Tamandua tetradactyla: one gene and its partners. The protein of the gene in region 2 interacts with the protein of the main gene of each other region in a biochemical or structural test. Links are inferred from orthologs where the notes say so. Each region holds a gene or a part of one and is shown on either strand. Other genes may lie near its edges.

Region 1 (7,720 bases), on a different chromosome or scaffold from region 2:
GAAGAAGCAGCAGCACTGGCTTAAGAGTGAAGGATATACTCAGGGATTGCAGAGTACGTGAGAGTACAGAGTACATGGGAGCTGGGGGTGGTGATGGTTCCTGGTGGAAGATGAGGTGGGGAGGCTGACAGGGCCCCATCCAGGGGGGCCTTGTGGGCCACACTGAGGACCTTCCCCTGGACGCTGTAGGTGTTGAGGAGCTGTGGGAGGTCTCAGCAGGGACTATCGAGGACACGCCTGGGAATCTGCAGCTGCAGCCTGGCAGGGGAACCGGAGGGGACAAGGCTGGAGGCAGGGAGGCTGATGAGGAAGCTGGGGCAACCACCCTGGGGTGGGGGGATGGAAGCTCCGAGCTGGCCAAGGGCAGAGGGAACCAAAGGGCAAGGTCAAGAACTTCTCAGGCTTCTGCCAGGATGACATTGGTAGCAGGGGCCCTCCCAGTGCCTGAGGCCCCTTCTCCTGGGCTCCGCTGACTAGGGTCTGCCCTCCCTCACCTGACCCGGCCCTCCTCCAGCTGGCGCAGGTGGGCATCTCGTTTCAGGACGTCGGCAATGGCCTCTTGCTCCTCCTCGGTCAGGAAGCTGAGGTCCAGCAGCCTGTCGGCCTCAGGCTCCAGCCCGTGTGCCATGGGGAGGGAGGGCAGGGCCCCGAGCCCCTCTTGCGATGGGTGGCCCCTGAGGGGCATCAGCTGGGGGTCATGCCCCGGCAGGGCATGCGTGGCTCCCTGGGGGCAGACTAGAGGTCATGTCAGGTTCTGCCCCGATACGGGGCACACTCTGGGGCAGAGCAGCCCCAGCAAGTGCCCGGGATGGGGGCAGACTACAACCCCAGGAAGGCTGAGGTCCAGCGGGGTCAGATATACCCATAGACTCGTGCATATGTGGGTGGGGGAACACACTCAGGGACACACTGGAAGACGTGCACAGAGACACATGTGCACACCCTGAAGGTGGAGACACACAGAGGACCATGGAGGGGGAGCATGTGGGCATGCGCATGCTGACCCAGGTAGAAACGGGTGCCCGTGGACACGCGCACGGCCCATCCCTGGAAGAGGTGCATCAGTCACAGGCACAAGCCGGGAGGCGTGTTTGCCCGAGATCTCCACTGAGCTGGGCCACGCATGGACAGGGTGCCCCTCCATCCCATCCCACCCCCGGCCACATGTACGAGAATAAGGCCCGGGACAAATATGTGTCCCCAGACGCACACAAATCACACAGACTTTCACACATACGTGTTGCCCCCCAACTGGGTTGTGAGCTCCTTGAAGGCAGGGATGGGGCAACGCCCCCAAAGCCCATAATTTGCACACAACAGATAGTTGGTAAAAATGTGATTAGTTACATGTGGAAATGCACCTAAAGGATCCTGCACACCTGGGAAATGTGCACAGACCCACACCCACACACGCACACACACTCACGCAGCTGCTCACACCCCCACCCTGGGAACCTCCCAACCTGCGTCCCTCCCTTCACTCGTTACCTCCACCCCGCCCTGGCCCACTTGGCCTTCCTGTCTGAGGCAACCTCCTCCCCAGCCTGCACCCCCGACTTCCTCCCCCCGCCCCCAGGGAGTGGCCGCACCCACTCCCACTGGGGCCTCGGGCCCGGGATGCCCCTGCTGCCAGCGCCCTCCTGCCCAGATCACCCGCGCCCGCCTGTCGGCTCTGGCCACGCGGGTCTCCCCATCCTCTGGCCCATAGACCTGCTGGGGAAGCTCAGGTCCCACGGTGACTCCGGAAGGAAAACATTTGCGCAGCCCTGAGGGGCGCGTGGACGTGGCAGGGAGCCCATGCTCAGCCCTGGGCAGAGCTGAGCCGTGGCCTGAGCCCGCTGGGCCATCTCTCCCCTCCTCTCCGGCCCTCCGGTGCCCTTCCCCCTGCCTTGCCAGGGCACCAGGCGGGGCCGAGAGGGAAGAGAGTGGCTCAGCAGGCAGGTCCTGGCTTGTACCCACCGCCATCACTGCCGCCTCCTGGGCTCTGTCCCCTCCCAGGCTGAGTCCGTGTCCGTGGCCCAGCCCCAGTCCCCTGCTGTTTCCCCCAGCCCCATTCTGCAGGTCTCTGTTGTGCTCCTCCGGATAAGCATGTGAATGGCCACGTGTTCAACACTAACAGTGTTTCCTGAGCATCGACTGTGCTGAAGGTGCTGGTGTGACAGACACACTGTGGGAGCCTCCTCCCGTGGCCCGGTGCCTGGGTCCGTGTGTCTGCCTCTGTGTCACATCGTGCTGCTGGATGAGCCTGCGTTTCGCGGCATGTCTGTGGGCCAGGGGCCTGTGAGCCTATGTATTTGGTGTGTGTGAACGTTGCATGGCTGGGTGTGTGTCTGTGGGTCCTGTCACAGTGAGGTGCTGCATGGGCAACTGTGTGGTGTGTGTAAAGACTATCTGGGTGACAGTGTGGTTGTGTAGGCTGTGTGTGGGCGCTGTGTGTGTGTCTCTTCCTGTGTTGGATGTGTGACTGGGCTGTGTGTTGGGCTGTATAGTCTGCTGCCCTGGGGCCTGCAGAGGCCACCGTGTGTGTGTGTGTGTGTGTGTGTGTGTGTGTGTGTGTGTGTGAGTGTGAGTGTGGAGGTGGCAGGCTCTGCAGGAGTGACCCTGCCCCGTCCGCCCCACACGGCTAATGCCTGGCCTGGGTTATGGGTGCCTGAGGTCAGGGCCCCGCAGCAGCCGCCTCCCCACAGTCCCCTCTTCAAGGACAGAATCAAGGGTCCAGTCCTCTCAGCCGTGTTTCAGCCCTATGGGGCAGACCCACCGGTCAACCCAAGAACCTGTCCATCTGTCAGGCTGTTCCGGTCTCTGGCCCACTCCCGCCTCCCCCACCTAAGGTCCTGGAGAGCGCTAAGGCTTCCAGGTGGTAGTGCCTGCCTCTCAGGACACCAAACAGGGGACTTCCAGCCCCGAGCTGTGTTACCTGTGGGGGTCCAGTGTGAGGAAGGGGACCCCTCTGTAGGGTGACTCTGGCAGCCGAGTGAGTTTCAGGGTCTGGGAGAAGAGCCGTGAGGGACTAAGGCTGACTCAACAGGCTCTCCAGCAGCTGCCCCACCAAGAAGGAGGAAACACCTTCTCAGCAGGGCCTGATGCAAAACCGGGCCTGGACTCCTGGCTCCCCAGGGGCAGCCCCACCCGGAGGTGATTTGGTGGGCTTTTGGAGCCAGGTGTTGGGTCCCAGTTCCAGAGTAAACTCACTTAGTAACTCCAGCAAACCACCAGCCCTTAGAGCCTTGGTTGTCCCTTCTGTAGAATGGGTGTCTGGGGAATGGCAGGATTGCATACTTTGCAGTAAGGCATCCTATATCACTGTGTGACCTTGTGCAGGTTTCCTAACCTCTCTGAGCTGCAAAATTTCCTCCTGTGCAAATTGGGGGTAGCAGAGTGTGAAGAGCCTATTATAAAGAAAATGAAAGTGCCTGGCCCAAGCTGTCATCTAGTAGGGACCAGGATCCCCTCTCCACGTAGTCCAGTGCCCATGGCCATTTCAACAACCATTGCCCCTTTGATGCAGGCTCGCCTCCGGAGGTGCTGGCAATAAGCAGCTAGCAGCCCTCTTTGCCCCCTCTGCCACCCTGCACTCCATTTGTTTGCTGAAGCTTGGTGCCAAGGCTGAGACTCCCACACACCCTGCCTCTGCCCACAGGAAGCCCCTCCGGGCATCCCATTCTGTTCTCAGACTCGACCCCACCCTAGAAGAGAAGGTTTGGGCCCTAAGATGCACTTGCTTTGGAACCACGAAGCTCGAGGCTATTTCATTCCTGGCGTAGTGTAAGGCATTACCAAAGCTTCCTGATCCCCCAAGCCTACTTCATTCCATAAGGCCTGCCCTGCCCCTGACCTGGGGCCACGGATTAAAGATCAGAGGGTACCTCGCAGACCCCCAAGAAAGGGGTAGGGCAAGGGGTGGATTCTAAAGGAAACCCCCTCCTCCTCCACTCCCCCCCTTCCCCCCATGGGCTCTGGAACAGGCGCCACCACTCAGCCCCTGGGGGTCCCTCCCCCCCGCCAGCCAAGAACCAGGCTTCCCCATTTTCTTTTTCCAAGTCCATCTTTTTTCTGAGCCTTTCCCCTCATCAATGGTTTTCACCACAATTTAATAAGATCCCTGCAGACCCTTAATAAATACACATGTGCGACACAGGCTGTGTGCCCGCTGTGGGAGCGGTTGCTGCCATGCTCACCTCCCGGAATGGAAGGAGGGCGGCCAGCAGCATCCCCAGCCCTTCCCACCATCCTGGTCACAGCTCCTCCCGTGAATCACGGGATGTTTCTTTCTAGGCCCCCCTCCCACCTCCCAGCAGTCCTCACTCCTGGAAGACATCAAACTTTGTTTACTCTGCAGGTTTCTAAATTTCCCTCCCTCTCTCCGTTCTGATCTTCCTAAAGCTGTGACTGTCCTCGACTCGGCTATTTCCATCCATCTCCTGCTGTCATCTCAACCTGAACTCCTCTGGCCCCTTCCACACCTGAAACTTTATCTCCAGGTTCCACTTCTGTAAAGAGCCCCTGTGGTCCCGTCCCCCCAGGCCACCTACTTCTCCCTGCTTGTCACTGAACGAGACCCTCTCTTTCCCCCAGGGACTTTCCCATCTGTGCCTCTTCTCCACCTGCCCTCCCACTGCCCAGATATCAGTCCCTGCTCAGCGTCTTCTGGAAGCCTCCACCTCTCGTGTCTCCCTGCCTTCACATGCGCCCCCTCCAGCCCTTTATTCCACAGCTATCAGAGAGCCCTTTCCAACACCTAACTATTGTCATTTCTCCACTTTGGAAGGTGCTAGGAAACAACTAGGGTCACCCTCTGGCCCACTCACAAATCTGCTCCAAACCAGACCAGGCTCCCTTAAACACCATCACTGACAGAAGTCTAACCACCTCCCAAGACAGTCTATCCTCCTCTTGGGCTGCCAGACCCCTCAGCCTTACCCTTAGGCCCCTCACCATAAATCTGCTCTGCCCATCCTTCATTTCCTACATCCGTAGAGCCTTAGCCACAGACTCTACTTCCATCCATTTGTGCCCCCCTCCAACTGCTGGAAGACTTTCCCTACCCTTCGCTCCCCGCCCCCCGCCCCCCAGGACCCGCCTGTAATCTTCCTGAAGTGAGTTCTTGGTCTTTGCACTGCGGCTAGTTTCTAGGCAGCTCCCCGTGGGTAAGAGCCAGGCTCCTAGAAGCCAAAAGATGTGTGTTAAATTCCGGCTCTGCCACATGGTCCCCATGTGGCCTTGGACCAATGACAGTCTCTGTAAGCCTCATTGTCTCTCTCTGTAAAACAGACACAACAGTGACAGCCATCTCATAGGACTGGGGAGAGGAGTGCTTCCTGCTTCTTAATTTTATTTTTTATTAAACTAAAAGTGTAATACAGATTAGCATGAAAAACAATGAAACCCCAATTCAAAAGAGGGAAAGCGATAATAGGCAAAACATACAAGAAATAAAATAGGTAGAAAAAATTCAATCTCACTGATCGAAGAAAGAGAAATTTTAGACCAATTAAAATTAGCAAAACAACTAACTGAAATTCAACCCCTAACATTGGTAAAATTGTGGTCAAAATGATACATTCATTCATTGTTAAAGATGATGTAAATCTGTTCAACCCTTCTGCAAAGCATTATGATTTCAAGATTCATAAAGATAGACCAGAGATCTCATTAATTTTATCAAGGATAAAATTCAACCAAAAAATACCTTCATGTTTAAAAATGCTTACTGCAAAGTTATCATCAGCAAAGAACCAAATGCCCAGAATTGGGTAAATGGCTTATGAAATTAAAAAAAAGTGATCAAATATAGAGGCATAAAATATACAATGTTAAACAAAAAATATAAAATTGTATGTTCATCAATTAAAATATATCAAAATACATAAGCACAGGAATGGAAACATGCAATAAAGGTAAAAGTAGTAGTTAAGGTATTTGAATTTTTTAAAATTATCTAATGTTGTAGTTATTTTTTATTATTATTAAAAAAGAGACAAACCCTTTTATGCCTTTTTAAGTTTTCTTTTTGTTTTAAAGCCACAGCCCAACATTCTTTATTTTAAAAGAGCATCTTTAAATGAAAATTTATTAACAGGGATAAGCTGTAATGCCACACCAACTGGATCCTAGATCCTCTTTCCCCAGAAAAAGCCCATTCTTGGTTCTTTGTTTCCTGTTTTGTTGTTTTTTTTCACCTCCAGCACCCTGCCCTTTCTCCGGGGTGACAGCATCCATGCCCTTTGGAGAGGCAGCCCCTTCCCATGTTCACTCCTTCTCCTCCAGTGAGGACACCTCACAGGGCAGCTCCAAGTGGGGGCTCTAGAGCCAGACGGAATCGTGGTGCTTCTTCCTACCTCTGGTCTTCAGCAAATTAAGTTGCTTTTGTGGGCTGGTGTCATCTGTAAACTGGAGATGACAGCACCTACCTCATGGGGCTGTTTTGAAGATGAAATGATGTTTAGAAAAAGGCTTAGCACATAGTAAGCGCTCAACAACTGTTGATTATTTTTATGACACCTGTTATGTCCTGTCTTACCAAGATTAATTTTCAGTTAATCTTGGGCTGGGGCAGTAGAACTTTTTCTATCTATCATGCTGGGTGGGTTGTCTTAAGTAGTAGAACTTTTCTTTTTTCCCCCAACCAATTCTCAGATGTACCCTAATATACAACACATTTTTGATAAGGAATTGCTTTGAAGCAGGGAGGAGGCACTTTGGCCTCATCCTGGAGGAGGTCCAGGCTCAGAAGCCACAGCTCTGCAGGGTCTGGGACAAGCTGACAGACCTCAATCTGGGACCCCAGTGGCCAGCAGCTAGAGCCTGGCCTCAGGATGAGCACGAGGGCCTCAGGGCAGTCAGAGACAAAACCCTGGGCTAGTTCAACTGGCAGACATGTGGCACAACAGCAGAGTTGAAAAAGATTCATTGAGAAGGGGGCTTTTAAGTTGGGCCTTGGGAAGAAATGCCACGACTTCAAGAGGAGAAAAGCAAAGGACCAGAGCTGGAAAGCAGAGTGTGCAAAAAGCTGCAAGGCTGGAGGCATGGTTTGACCATGGAAGGCCTTGAAGGGTGGAGGCCTGGCGGTGCTGCGGAGCAGGGCCGTGATGTGACCACAAGGTTCTGCCTGGTAACCTGGATGATGTGACAGGACCAGGGACTTGGCTTATACCAAACCGTGTGCCTGCTTGAGGGGGATGGGCCCAAGGGTGTGATCTGCCTAGTTAAAGCGCAGGCCTCTTTAGCCCCAACTCCCCACCCTACCGCCAAGTTCTTCCCAACAGGGACTATGGGTGGGGTTTCAATACCTGCTTGCCTCAAGGAGAAAGCAAAGGAATGGTGGACATGGAAAGAGAAGGGTGGTACCCCACAGCCTGGGCACAGAAGCAGGACGTACCTGAGGGAGGCTGGCGTCTCTGCAAGCCCCAGGTAATGAAGGCGACTCAACCAGACCCCTTGCCAGGGGGTGAAGGTGGCCAAGGACACTAAGGAGCTATGAGCCAAAGGGACTAGCGGACTGCAGAGAAGGAGAAAATAATGACAGAACACCACGTGGAATCAAAACTCTTTATTGTCCCATCCAGGGAGCCCCTCACATAGGGGCCTGTGGGAAAGGGGAATGAGGTGGACAGCACAGGGCCCTTTTTGATAACTTAAAGATAAGGAGGAGCTGTAGCCAGGTGGGTGGAAACAGCCTCCCTCCAACTCCCTGATGGCACGGGCTGCTCTGACAGGCTGC
Region 2 (7,258 bases):
AGTGATAGATGAAGTCAGAGGTAGCCACACACAATATAAGGGCTTTGGAGGCAACAATGAGGAATTTGTTTTTTCTTCTGAGATAAAAAGCCATTGGAGACCTGTTCTTAGGATGTGTACATGGCAGTATTAAGTGTTCAAGGAGCACGATATATACAATCTGTATTCAAATGTTTAGGAAATAGATGATAGATGGATATAGATGATGGGTAGAATGATATGGTAACACAAATGTGTGAAAATGTTAAAAGTTGGTGGATATAGGTATCTGCGTGGGAGGTGTATTGGAGTTTACCGTATAGGTTGTGTATTATTTTTTGCAACTGTCTTGTAAGTTTGAAAATATTTCAAAATAAAAAGTTTCTTAAGTCATTAGACTTTTAAGCAGAGGAGCAAATGACATGATTGACTTAAGTTTTGAAAGAATCATTTTGGCTGCTACGTTGAGAATAAACTGTAGAGTAGTGAGGGTATAAGCAGGGAGGTCAATTAGGAGGCTTCTATAAAAGGTAGATGGTGACAGAGATGAGAGGAGCTTGATAAACGCAGTGGAGATGGTGAAAAACAGTTATATCCTAGACGTGTTCTCAAGGCAGAATCAATGGAATTTTCTCGGGGTCACATGTCGGGTATACAAAAAAGAAGAGAATCAAGGATGATTCCAGGATTTTTAGCCAGAGCTGGAATGAAGTTGCCATTTACTAGAGAATTCCAGGAGGAGAAAATCAAGTCTGGTTCCTAGAGATTGCTGCCCACTTCAAACCTCTCCATCTACTCTAAAGCCAAGATGACAGAAATTAACTAGCTGATCCTAAAATTCATATAGCAATTCAAGGGACCCAAAAATAGATAAAACAATCCTGAAAAAGAACAAAGTTGGGAACTCACTCCCCAATTTCAAAACTTACTACAAAGCTACAGTAATCAAGACAGTATGGTACCGGAATGAAGACAGAAATATATAGATCAATAGAATAAAACCAAGAATCCAGAAATAAACCCTCACATTTACAGTTAATTGATTTTTTACAAGGGCACAACACCATTCAATGCAGAAAGCCTTTTCAACAAAATGGTGCTGCAACAACTATACATCACATGCAAAACAATGAAGTTGAACTCTTACCTCCTACCATATCCAAAAATTAACTTACAATGGATCAATGGCCCAAATATAAGAGCTAAAATTATAACAACTATTAGGAAAAAAACATAGTTATGTATCTTCAAATTCTTGGAAGAGGGAATGGTTTCTTAAATATGCTGCCAAAAGCACAAGCAACAAAAGAAGAAAAATAGCAAAACTGGGCTTCATCAAAATTGAAAACCAAGGCATGCCATAGAAATTGAAAGATGCAAAAAAAAAAAAAGAATAAAGATACATAACATAAAATATGGAAATACAAGAAATATTTCTACATAGAAATATAGAAAAGAATGATCTTGTCACCTCAGCATTGTATTAACAACCTTCCTTCACTTTTAACCTTCTGCAGAAACCCTGTTTTCCAGACGTGTTAAGGTTAATTTCAGTATTTCTCCCTAAATCAAGCTCTTAGGAGACCTAGAAAGAAGCAACAGGAGCAGTGGAGTACCAATAAAATAAATTAGTTATAATTAGTGAAAACTTACATGGCATAATACTTCACTCCCCATCCCGCACCAGCACATCTGACTGATCAGCCAGCCATTAGGGAAAAACCGTCTGCCAACATCAGGTAAGGAAAAGGACCCTGTGGCAGAAGATTCAGAGACCAGGTGGCCCAACTGGCCAGCAGGAGCCAAAGACGGTGAAAGCTAAGTCAAGTCAAGGACTCACAAGATTTCCTTCACTTCAGGTCTGACTCTGCTTAATCGGTGATCTATTAGGAAAGAGAAAGCTTTGGCAATAGTTACCAAAACCTGTCAACACATCGGCTGGCCCGAGGGTCTGGCTTCCTGTCTGGTGGGGTTTTTTGTTTGACAGAAAAAGGGAGACCTCCATCCCCACCCCACTCCAGCTAGTTTGCAGTCCGGATCCTTACCAGAAAGACTGTAAAGAGGTTAAAAAAAAAAAAAGTAAAATGAAACAAAACAAAACAGGAGGGAAGCCAACAAGAAGAGAGGAATGGAGAGATCTGGGAGATCCAGGACCTTCGTGCTCTCCACCAGTGAAGTTTCCTCATTCCCTCACGGGATCCTTCGCACCTGGAGCCCATCCCGAGGTGACCTCGGACCCCCGCCCGAGCTCGGGCTGCGCGGGATGTGATCCTCGCCCGGGCTGACCCGCTGCCCCAGTGGCTGTCATCGCTGGCCACTGTTCTGAGGGCCTGGGATACACAAAGCAACTTTTCTGGCGGGGTCAGGCGCGCAGAGGTGGGGAGAAACCGAGCTGCAGCCACGCACCCCCAACCCAGAGCCCGAAGTGCCACGTGCCGGCAGCCTGCCCAGCCCTCCGGGATGAACTGCCACCTGCTTTGAAAGCGCCCCGAGCCGGAGGGCGCACCCCGGGCCTGCGGCAGCTGCCCGCCCTCACCTGGCTCGGCCTGGCTGTTCCCACCGCTGCGAGCTCTCCCCGCGCGCCGCCTCCACCCGCGGCCGGCGTTTTGGGGGGTGGTTGGCGGTATTTTCCGTCTGGCCCCACATCACTTCCCGTAAAGGAGAGCGAGGTGGGGCGGGACCTCCTCTCTTCCCCTCCACCTCCCTCTTCCTCCTGTCACCTCAGAGCGCACCCCCCGCCCTATTCTGGGGACGGGAGTGCGGGCCGCGGGGCCGCCTGGTGGGGAGCTTTGCGGGCGCCCTTCTCCCGCGCGGCTCCCGGGCGCGCCGTACCTGCCGAGGGAGCCGGGGACGGACCCCACCTCGGGGTTCTCTCGTGAGTCCCAAAGGGCTCCGTGTGTCTCATTTCTCCCAGGCCAGGTCTCCACTGTCCTTTCCTGGAAGGCGCGAAAGCTTAGCGGTGGGCAGGGGTTGTTTTCGTTTTGAGACACGGGGGTGACATTTACAAATTGCTCCAGGATCGTCGCGCTGCGAGGTGTGGTTTGGTTGACTCGCCAAATCTCCTCCCCCAAAGCCATTTTCCAAAGGTGTTCCCCAGGGCATCAGATCGGTGACTCCACCGTAGTGGCCAGATGCGCTGAAAGGCTGCACATCGCCCCTGGCTCCCGAGGCCCGGGGGGGGCTCCCGCCCTTGGCGCCCCCTGTCCCAGCCTGCGGGGGCCGGATCCGCGCCGGGCGTCCGGCTCTGTTCACCGTCCATCCGGCTCTGTTCACCGTCCATCCGGCGCTCCCAGCTCCTCACTCGGATTAGCCTGGACATGGCCTTCCCGAGGTGAGGAGAAAGCGCTGGGATTCATGGAAGTGACTATTTATATGATTCTGGGGGGAAATGACCAAAGAGATCTCTCCTCGCACGTTCTCATTCGGATTATAAAAATCACTCTGAATTTCTAAGAACGCAGTAGACGAATTCTTTGAAGAACGGCAGCTGGCGGGAGGAATCTGCTATCCTTTGCTGCCACCCAGAGGTTTCTTCTCTCAGCGCCAGCCATTCTGTGTGAGCCGCAGCGCCTTCTGCGGCTCTGAGGCAAAGTCAGGTCCTCTGGTTCTCACCCGGACGCAGCCCCGAGATGTGAAAAGTAGACTATGGACCTACCCTGTGGTTTCTCAGGCAAAGCAACTCTGAGCCAAATGATTCCACATCTAGGTGTGGCTTAGTGGTTGGAAGTCCTCGTCCAGCTTCTTTTGCCTGTCCATCTCATTATTCGTGTGTCTACTTCCACCACAAATTCCATCTGCCCCAGCACTCCTATCTAACACCGTCATTCTTCCAGTCTGTAGTTACTGACAGTTTGCATGATAATACAGTTTCTCGTATATGTGTCCAATTTACAAAATCATGTATAGGATAAACCATATGAAATTGCCAAATAGTGGCAGTGATCTTGGGATTCATCACAGAGGGATGGTTTCACAAAGACCACCATACTGTTGGGGGGTTAAGAAAGGAAAAGTAGCCCCATGTTTATGTCTTCAGGAACAGTTCTGGGAACCACCGATCACCTAAGTTCTGGGGAAACAACAATGCAGGAACTGCTAATGGCTAATCTGATACAGGGAAAGGAACCCCCATTTTTACTCCCCCACATAACCAACATGGTTATGGACAGGAGTTTATCAGGCAGGGGATCAGAAAATGGACAGTGGTCCTGTGGCCCATTCACGGCGTATTCATTTATTTAACAAGTCAGACACTGTATTAGGGCTGCAATAAGTGAACAAGGAAAGTAAATTGGCCCTATTCTGAGGGAACTTGTAGTCATAGAGTAGGAGACCAATAATAAGCAGCCAACACCAGTACTGAGATAAGGGCCCTAATAAGAGAAGTGAAAGAGTATAACTGGAACACAGATAAGTAACACATAATTAAGCCATTCCAGAAAAAAATGATGTCAAAATTAAGAAGGAGGGATATGGTGGAAGGATGAGGGTGAATTGTAGGAACAGAGATTGGAGGAATGGCCCAGAGGAGAATGAAAGCATGAGATATTGGAACAACTGAAAGAAGGTCTGAGAACCTAACATACTGAGTGGAAGGAAGCAATCAGAGAAGAAACAAGAGAAATAAATGGAGGCTGTATTATGAAGCTCCCTGGAATACTGATAATGATAATAGCTAACATTTATTGATTATTTAATACTATGAGCCTGACAATATGATAAGAACTTTACATGGATCCTCTCATTTATTTCTCACAACTGCCCTATGAAGTAGATACCATTCCCATCCTTGTATTACATATACGTAAACTGAGTCTTGTAGTGACTGAGCAACCTGACCAAGGTCATACAGCTAATGAGTGGCAGAGCCAGGACTTGAACTAAGAACCCGTTTTCTTAGTTGCTATTTACACCAATAGCATCCAAAAGGATGAAATACCTAGGAATAAATTTAACCACAGAAGTGAAGGATTTATGAATGAAAACTACAAAACATTTCTCAAAGAAATTAAACAAGACTCAAACAAATGGGAAGATATCCAATAAGCAATCTGCAGATTTGACACAATCACTATCGAAATCCCAGTGGTTATTTTATCTACCTTATCAACAGATGAGTAAAATATACAGATTAAAAATAAATAATAGGGGGGACAAATGTTAAAATAAATTTAGTAGATTGAAATGCTAGTGATCAATGAAAGGGAGGGGTAAGGGGTATAATATGTATGAATTTTTTTCTGTTTCCTTTTTATTTCTTTTTCTGAATTGATGCAAATGTTCTAAGAAATGATCATGATGATGAATATACAATTATGTGATGATATTTTGAGTTATTTATTATATATCAAGAATGGAATGATCATATGATAAGAATGTTTATGTTTGTATGTTGTCATGTTTAACAAATAAATAAAATTTTCTTTAAATCCCAATGGTTATATGAAAAAATAAATGAGGGCAGGCCACAGTGGAACACCAGGCAGAGTTCTCACGTGACATGCGGGAGACCCGGGTTCATTTCCTGGTGCCTGCCAATCCAAAAAAAAAAAAAGTAAATGAGGTCCAAGATGGCAGCTTAGTGAGGTGTGGAATTTAGTTCATCCTTCAGAGCAGCTAGTAAATAGCCAGGAACAGTACAGAACAACTGCTGGGGCCACATCACTGACCAGACACACAGCATACCCCAGTCTGGAACAGCTGGACTGGCTGCGAGCCTCCCCAGAACCATGAGTGCCCCAAACCACAGTGGCCGGCACCCCTCCCCCACAGGCTGCTTCCCAGAGGGGAAAGGAAAGAGACTTTACTAACAGCAGGAGCTGAGCTCAACCAAGCTCCAATTGTGGAATTAATTAACAAATACTGACTACTAAAAATAGGCCCCCAGCTCAACTGAACCTCAAGTAAAAGCTGAGGTTGCTGGGTTTTGCCCCCACACAGAGGGGGCAGGGCTGACAGAAAAAGAAAAGAAAAAAAAAAAAAAGGTTTTTTTGGATCAGACAGTACAAAGTACTTGTAAGGGCCTGGGTCCTGAAGGAAAGGAGGCACACATAGGACCTGGAGATACACAGAGCAGCATACCAACTTAAGTTCTTGATTGACAAACCCGAAGAACAGGGGCCTGTACTGAAAAGGATTTTTTTACTGTTCTTTTTTGTGGCTGTGTTTCTTTGGCTTGATTGCTCCTTACATACAACTGCAAGGCTTCTCAGGCTCCAACTGCCCAAGACCAGGGCAAAATTAAGCTTATCTGAGCAGCAAAGTGGCTGATCAGATGAAAGGAGTTAATTCCCTGGAGCCTGTGCCTTCCCCTGGAAACGGGTGGGGCCAGCTCAGGTGGAATCCCTCCCTGAAGGAATTCAGACCCCCGGGTCTGGAAAACTGAAGCAATTAAAGCCAGCCTATAAACTCTCCTCTGCCTCAACCACGCCCTCAGCAGGGAGAAACTGCTGAAATTAAAGGCACTCCATCACTTTATGCTGGTGGGACCTGCAGACAGAAAAGTGTCACATACTGGGCAGGATAGGAAAAATGCAGAGTCCAGAGGTTTCACAGGAAAGCCTTTCAATCTGCTGGGTCTCACCCTCAGGGAAAACTGATAGAGGTGACTCTTTCCTCCTGAGAGGTGGCCAGTCTGGGCTGGGAAAATCTGACTGGGGTCTATAATACCTAAGTAGAACCTCCTAAGGGAAAAAAAGGCACTAAACAGATAGGGCAAGAAACAAGATCTGAAAAATTCTGATCTGTTAAAACCTAAGTTAGAGGTCTAGAATAAGCTGAACTGAATGTCAAAGAACAGATAGACAACGAAGTCATGCAACAAGAAAATCGTAGGTAAAAAAAAGTGAAAACAATCTCCAGAATAAATTAATTAAGGAAATTAAATGTCTAGACACCAGCAAAAAATGGTGAATCATACTAGGAAAATTGAAGATGTGGCCAATCAAAGGAACAAACCAACAATTCAAATGAGATACAGGAGTTGAAACAATTAATTCAGGATGTTTGGACAGACATGGAAAATTTTCATTAAAAATCAAAATCCATGAATTGAGAGAGGATATAAAGGCAAGGAATCGAAAAAAAGAAGAAATCGAAAGTCTGAGAAAACAAATCACAGAACTTATGGGAATGAAAGGCAAAGTAGAAGAGATGAAAAAAAACATTAGAAACCTACAATGTTAGATACAAAGAGGCAGAAGATAGGATTAGTGAACTGAAGGATGGGACCTCTGAAATCAGACAAGCAAAAGAAAATATAGAGAAAAGAATGAGAATA
Region 3 (7,292 bases), on a different chromosome or scaffold from region 2:
AGTGTGTCCAACTGGGTAGGGCTTCACCTTAGGTCCAGGAGACCACAAAAGAATGCCAGTTCATAGAATGGTACTGTCGTTCATCAATTCATTTAACAAATATTAGTAAGCACCTACGATATGCCAGGCTCTGTTCTGGGTGCTGGGATATACCAGCGAATAAAACAGAGAAGTCCCTGCCCACAGGGAGCTTATGTTATATTGGAGGGAGAAAGACAACAGGCAAGAAAAATGAGAGTAATCAAGAAGGGATGGATTATACAGAATGCTCAGAAAAGCAGTTGCAATTTCAAATAGGGTGGTCAGGGAAGGCCTGATTGACAAGGTGACATTTAAGTAAAAACACTGAGCTGCAGGATTTCAAGTGCCTCAGGAGGATGTCTTTTGTACTTCACACCATCACCAGACCTCAGGCCATTGAGGGCACTACATCCCCAGTTAATAGTACAAATACTTGTTAATCCCTTGCACTTAGGACAAAGAGAACTCCAAGATCCAGACCTTGCCCTTTAAAGAGGGTACAACCTTACATGGAAAAACAGGTAGGATAAGTGTTGGCTCTACTGAGGTATAAACAACTGCCTTAGGACACGGGGTAATCAGTCCTTCTGCTTAGGGGAAGGAAGTGAGTATTCAGTGAGTTTGTCCCAAAGAAGGTGACTTTAGAGCTAAATATTTAGAGATGAATAAAAATTAATGGTTGGTGTGTGTGTGCAGGTAGCAAGTTAGCTTTTTTAGGAAAAAAAGGGGAGGGGAGCAGTGTGAGCAATGTCTCAGAGATGAGATCAAGGAGGACATTTTACCCTGGACTATCCCTACCCAAAAATGGTATGCCCCATGCATGCCATGACAAAACAAGCACACAATCATCATCAGGCTCTCTGGCCTGGTTGTAGGTAAATCATTATCACCTACCACACCTTCATTTCTCCCCTAGCCAGAAGAAGAGGAAGAAGTTGAACCAGGTGCACATCCCTAGAATCCAGGGTTACCCTCTCCTAACTTCGGGAGAATCACTACTGAGCTGAAAGCCCAGGTTTCACTCATCTGGATACACACAAAGGTATGTGCTTAGAGTGGCAACATAGCAATTGGCCCCATGTTGGAAGGAAAGTGGGTAAGACATCATTGAAGTAAATTGTCCAAAGTCTCCACAGTGAATCTAAAGTAGAATCAAGGATCAAAACTTATGTTTCATCTTGGAAGGGATATTTTTAATCACTTAGTCCTCAGTCATGAGCAATTAGCATTCCTAATATCCAAGACAGTAGAGGTGTTATGACAGAGGATAAAAACACAAGCTCTGCAGTCAGGTGGCCCAGTTCTGCCCCTCATCAGGTGGGTGATTGAGACAAGGCACTTAAGCCTCCTTTTCATCATAATATGGTCATAATTGTAGTTTTATTGCAGAGTTATCATGAGGATTATATGAGATAACCATGCAATGAGTTTATTACACTGGCTCAATGGAGTCTAACAACTATTATTACCAGCAACCTTTAAGGAGAGGCCATCAACCAGAATCTACACACACTCAAGGAGTACACTCTGACCTCCATTTTACCGCTCTGACCAGGAGTGAGGTACCTGAAATGTTGTTATCCAAAATGTTCATCCCCTGCCCAAGAAAAGCCTCACAAACCAAGGTGGTGTTTTTCTACTAGGATTTCCAGCAGGTGCTAAAAAAAAAAAAAAACTTCATCAGCACCTCAACTCTTTGCATTAAAGAGTTCTCTCTGCAGACCAGCAGGATAAACACATTAGGTCATTAACACCTTAATATGAATGGATTTATGAGAGGTGGAGGTGGGGAGTTGAGAGGGCAGGAAAGAAGCCATTTAAAAACCTGTAAGTCCAGGATGTATTGAAGACTAATTTCTGCCACAAACGTACAAGGTCTAGGGCCAACCCTGCCAAAAGCTGTATTCTGGAATGCTAGGTCTTCTGGTCCGAAGCAGCAGGGCACTGGGGGAAGAAAAAGTCGGTTAATGAAAAACAAGTCACTTTAAGCCACTAGGGTTCTAACCAAAAGATTTTACCTTCAAAAAAACCCAACCATCTCATTCAACGTTAAGAGCTATTAGGGACACCTTTTCTGCCCATTACAAACCATCACAGAAGCTGGAAGCATTCTAAGCCCCCTTCTGAAGGTTACGGGGACTCTCCTCCAGAAGCAACCCCCCTCCCCCCGCAGCCTGCTTAAAGGATGGCAAGACAAAGCATTTCAGTGCTAGAGCACAAAGCCTGGTCCCGGGTCACCAACCCCAAGCGCTGAGAAAGCCCACTGAGGCAGGGCTCTGGGCCAACAAGCCTCCAGCCTTTACCAGTGGCGGACCGGCCAAGGCTGGGGAAGCCGATGCCGCGAAGTCCGAGGTCCTGAGGCAGTGAGCAGCAGAGATCCCGCTAGCACTCGGGCCAGGAGGAATCGATGGGAATGGGACTCGACGCCTGGGAGGGCGCCACAGTTCCGCTAGGAGCTGGCCCCTATCCCCGCCCCTACGGCTAGCTCTCCCGAGGGGCCCTGGTTTTTGGCAGGCGGGAAAAGCCGGTGCACTCCGTGGGGGTGGGGAAGGGAGGAGGCAGAGCCCACAGGGGCACCGCCCGCGTTAGTAACGGGTGGGCCAGGGGAAGAGGACACTAGAGGCCCGGGAGAAAGAAAACCAGCAGGGAGTGACCGCCCCAAGCACACTGGAGGCAACGCGTGGGTGGTCGGTCCAGAGAGGCGAATAGGGGTGAGGGGGCAGACGGTCAGCGAGGAAGAAGGAAAGACAAGAATGGCGTAAGGGGCGTGGGGGAAGGACGCAGGTCCCTGAGACGCGGAGTGGGAGGGGGCGCTTCGGAAACGAAAAGGGGACTGGGGGCCCAGAAGGAGCACCGGACTGAGGGAGAAGGGGCGGCCGCTGGTCGCGCACCTACCTGTCACCTGCAATAAGTGCTGCGAGCAGATGAGATGTCCGAGGGCCGGATTCAGAGGAGAGTCTCAAACTCCAGGAAGACCACAAGCCCGTTCCTGCGGCCCGTCCTTCTCACCCTCCCGGGAGGCGGAAAAAGCTGCAACTTTCTTTGGAGCGGGGAGGAGCTGGACTCTTAAAGGGGCCGCACAGCGTTCTGGGCTCCTTACTAGCGGGCCACTCCCGCCAGGGCAGCTCTGGCCACCAAATGGGTGTCTCCCGGGTTAGGAAAGGGAGCTTGAGGACTGAAGACAGGTTTTTAAGACTAGACGGTTTTAAGACTTTACTTCCATCTGTGCCTACTCTCTTCGATGGTAAAAATTACCTTCTTCCGCTCAGCTGGGCCCAAAGTTGTCAAACTGTCGTGTACTTAAGAATATGAAGACTCTGGACTGCATAAATTGGAAGCCTAAAATGTTATATCATTCTGATCCTTTGGCTTTCGGCTTTTTATGGCAAATAAGAGTGTCTCAAATAAAAACATGGTGGGCAAAGGACATAAACTAAATGTACACACAAGGAACAACTGGTTAAAATATTCAGCTCACTAGTAATCAAAGAAAGCGAATTAGAATGATGCGATTCTTTAGCAAATTTTTTTTTATTATTATTGTAACTTACGGATAGCAAAGTGGCCACGGACGAGCTCTCTCAGACTTGCTAGTAGGAGTGTACTGGTAAAAACCGTCTTACAAAGCTCCTGAGCAATATATACTAATAGATTTTAAAATGTTCATATCTACCCAGTATTGTAGATTGTAGGTTTCACTCTCTCCCTCCCTCCCTCTCATTAGCCATTAAACCTGTTCAAGCCTCTCTGAAGCTGTCATCAGCAATTAAACATGCTCAATTCTCCTTCACCTTAAAAAATATATATCCTCCCTACGCACGAAGTCGACTCCAGCTCCTCTTTATAGGCAAGTTGATTGAAAATGTACTTTAAAGGTACATTCCTATTTCCATTCTCCTACCTTTCATTCATCTCTTATTCTCCAGCAACCTGGCTTCCTTCTCCAACACACCACTTACCTTCCTTGTATTTCTTAGAATAGTAAAATACTAGGGAAGAAAACTAATGGTTCAATGGTTAAGTAAATTAAAGTATGGTCACCGAGAAGATAGGATTTAACAAATGAATGTGATTGCTGAATCATTAAATTGATCTCTTTTAGTCTCCAGTAGCTTAGAGCAGCCAGAAGTAAAAACCTAAAATTGTGGAATTCTAACCCATGCCAAACTCTGAAATATGTTCTACAACTAATTGTAGTACTGTGCTTTGAAATTTATTGCTTTTTTGTATATATGTCATTTTTCACAAAAAAGAAAAAAAGTCGATTGTGATGATAAAAAAATATTTATGCCTTCTGACCTCCTATATTCAGGAGCAGCAGCTAGAAGGAGAAACCTGAGAGGATCATATGTTGGCCCATGACAAACTTTGGGATCTGTCCTGTAACTATTTGTTGAAGAGTGCTTTGAAAACTATTGCTTTTCTCTCTCTTTGTATATACGTTATACTACAAAACAAAAATTTTTTAAATTAAAATATGGTCATACAATGGACTAAATGAATTTTCATTTTTCTTCTTCTTTTCTGTATTTTTCAACTATCCTGTAATGAGCATGTATGGCTTTGATAATATAACAAATCTTTTTTAAAATCTTAAAAAGGTAAAGAAAAAAATTTTCTTCATTCTAGCAGACAAACAGTAAAATACAGCTCCCAGGCTCTTTCCCAGAGTTTTCTTAGTTACTTTAGCCCCTCAATACCCTGCCCCCAGCCTGAAGTGAGGTCATTTCAAAAAGGAAATCCTTTTTTTCTACCTAGCTTTGCCACTTCAGCCTCGAGGCCACTCTACTCAGCCCTGAGCTTTGAATGCATCTCCCAAACCTCCGTCGTGGAAATGATGTACGAGAGGCATAGGAGTCTTCTCTCGCCCTGGCCTGTGGGCATTCAGACCAAGCACTTCTCTGCCCCTTCCCAGGAGGTACTTGGGGAGAACTGCTAACACCCTCAGCCAGAAGGGACTTCAGAAAACATTTAGTTCAACCCTCTTATTCATCAGCAAGTTGCAAAATTTCGAGATATTATTTTAAGCGTTTACTTCTTTCTACATGTGCAATTTCTAACCCTGCAAGGTCTGCCTCATTAAAGAGTATGTGAGGATCTGACTGGTCTTCTCTAAGCGTCTCACTAACCCAGCTGCAAATACACAGAGACACCAACATAAACAATGAACCAAAACAAAGTTAATCAATGGTTTGCTTACATATATTCTGTACTTTGCAAATTGCTATCAATTTCTATTTGATCCTCTTTGTCTGCCACAAGGATTCATATACTAAATAGTTTGAAGGATCTAACGCAAGCAAACCCAGGTGCTATCCTGTGCAAAAATGTAAGCATGAATTTATGGATTATCGTTTTATATATAGCATGTAAGCTCCTAATCCATTGTGAATAATTTGATTCATGGAGTTGTTCTGCTTTGCCACTTTGAAGGAGTTTTGGCTATTGCAAACTAAAGAGATGGAGATTTTCCTCAGCCCCAGGTGACGGTATTGAACAATTACTTTTTTAAAAAGTATTAAATATTTTAAAATTCATAAACATATAAAGAATAATATAGCAACAAGGACATGCCCACCACTCAGCTTGAGAAATAAAGCATTGCCAATATAGTTGAAGCCCATGTACTCCTCCATTCTGAGGTTCAATTCACATGATTGTATAATGTTCTCTGGAAATTCTAGACATACAGGTAGAGAAGGCATAGCGTAGCATTAATTGAGGATTAGAATGCTAATGCATAGGTAAGCACAAAGTACACAGAAAGAAAGGGCCCTGTATAGGCAAATGCAATTGAGCAGGATTGCATGCATAAATACAAAAAGAAAACTCTGGTGACCCCAAGCTGAATGGGAATAGTTACAAATGGCTCCTTAGAAAAAAATTTGGTCTCCTTACACTTTTATTTTAATAACAGCTTTCTTCAGATGTAATTCACATACCATATGATTCACCTATTTAAAGTGCACAATTCAGTGGGTTTTAGTATAGAGTTGTGCAAGCAAGTATAACCTCAGTGAATTTTAGAATACTTTCATCACCCCAAAAAGAAACCACCTACCTATTAGCAGTTACTCCCCATTTCCTTCCAACATCTCCCTCCCCTAGAGAACCACTAATCTAATTTTTGTCTCTAAAGATTTGCCTATTCTGGACATTTCAAGTAAATGAAATCACATAACTTGTAGTCTTTTATGACTGCTTCTTTCACTTAGTGTAAAGTTTTCAAGTTCATCCACATTGTAGTATGTATCAGTACTTCTTTTTGCTGTTGAATAATGATATGCTACTTTTTATTTATCCTTTCATCAATCGATGGACATTTCGGTTATTTCCACTTTTGGCTATTATGAATAATGCCGTCATGAACATTCGTGAATACATTTTTATATGGACATATGTTTTCATTTCTCTTAGGTATATACCTATGAATGAATTGCTAGGTCATCTGGGAACTCTGTTTAACCGTCTGAGGAACTGCCAGACCACTTTCAAAAGCAACTGCCCCAATTTACATTCCCACCAGCAATGTATGGGAGTTTTCATTTTTCAACATCCTCACCAAAGCTTGTATTTATGTGTCTTTTTAAAAATCATAGAACCTAGTGGGTGTGAAGTGTGGCATCTCATTGTGATTTTGCTGTACATTTCCTTAATGACTAATGAATGATGTTGAGCATCTTCTCATGTGCTTATTATCTATTAGCATGTCTAACTTTCTTCAATTGTGTTACTTGTCTTTTTATTGTTAAGTTGTTAGAGTTCTTCATACATTCTACTTATACTTTTGAAATGTATGGTAGAAGGGGAGAAGGGAGAAGGACATTCAAAGGAAGGGAGTAAAATGGAGGTGTATACAAATGTCAATAAGCAGGTTTTGCTGCTGAATTCAAGAAGAGAGTACAGGTCAGGGGAAAATGTGCTGAATTGTACTGAGGATGGGTTCCTTTATCTATGGCCAAGACTAAGTTCAGGACTGGTTTTTCTTTGGAAATTGGTAATGAAGGGCTGAAAACTTTTAAGACCTATTCAAGTGATTTATTCTGAAGTGGACATATACTATTTTTTAAAAAGCCTCTTGGGGAGAAGGGAAGCCAAACCATTACTTACCAGGATATAAAAGCAAAAGATAGGGACTCCTTGGTAAAATGAGCAGTGATTGTTTTTGTGTTTTATTTTATTCTGACCCTCTAGCAATGTTTGATGCTGTTGCCCACTGTTTCCTTCATATATATATATATATATATATATATATATAAAATTACTGTTAA

The links.
Region 1: the proteins of RAB27A (region 2) and SYTL1 form a complex in vitro, tested with the Homo sapiens proteins (3 studies listed by BioGRID). The link is inferred for Tamandua tetradactyla from reciprocal best matches to the Homo sapiens genes RAB27A and SYTL1.
Region 3: the proteins of RAB27A (region 2) and SYTL4 form a complex in vitro, tested with the Homo sapiens proteins (2 studies listed by BioGRID). The link is inferred for Tamandua tetradactyla from reciprocal best matches to the Homo sapiens genes RAB27A and SYTL4.

What each region holds. Positions count from the first base shown.
Region 1 is NC_135328.1:198,921,526-198,929,245, forward strand, and holds the start of SYTL1 (synaptotagmin-like protein 1), read right to left. Parts: upstream 3,052-7,720; 5' UTR 2,918-3,051; intron 736-2,917; 5' UTR 686-735; coding exon 495-685; intron 1-494.
Region 2 is NC_135340.1:70,437,327-70,444,584, forward strand, and holds the start of RAB27A (ras-related protein Rab-27A), read right to left. Parts: upstream 3,027-7,258; 5' UTR 2,812-3,026; intron 2,648-2,811; exon of another isoform or gene 2,516-2,647; intron 1-2,515. UniProt on the Homo sapiens protein: Small GTPase which cycles between active GTP-bound and inactive GDP-bound states. In its active state, binds to a variety of effector proteins to regulate homeostasis of late endocytic pathway, including endosomal positioning, maturation and secretion.
Region 3 is NC_135353.1:73,163,820-73,171,111, reverse strand, and holds the start of SYTL4 (synaptotagmin-like protein 4), read right to left. Parts: upstream 3,047-7,292; 5' UTR 2,917-3,046; intron 1,966-2,916; 5' UTR 1,894-1,965; exon of another isoform or gene 1,847-1,893; intron 1-1,846. UniProt on the Homo sapiens protein: Modulates exocytosis of dense-core granules and secretion of hormones in the pancreas and the pituitary. Interacts with vesicles containing negatively charged phospholipids in a Ca(2+)-independent manner.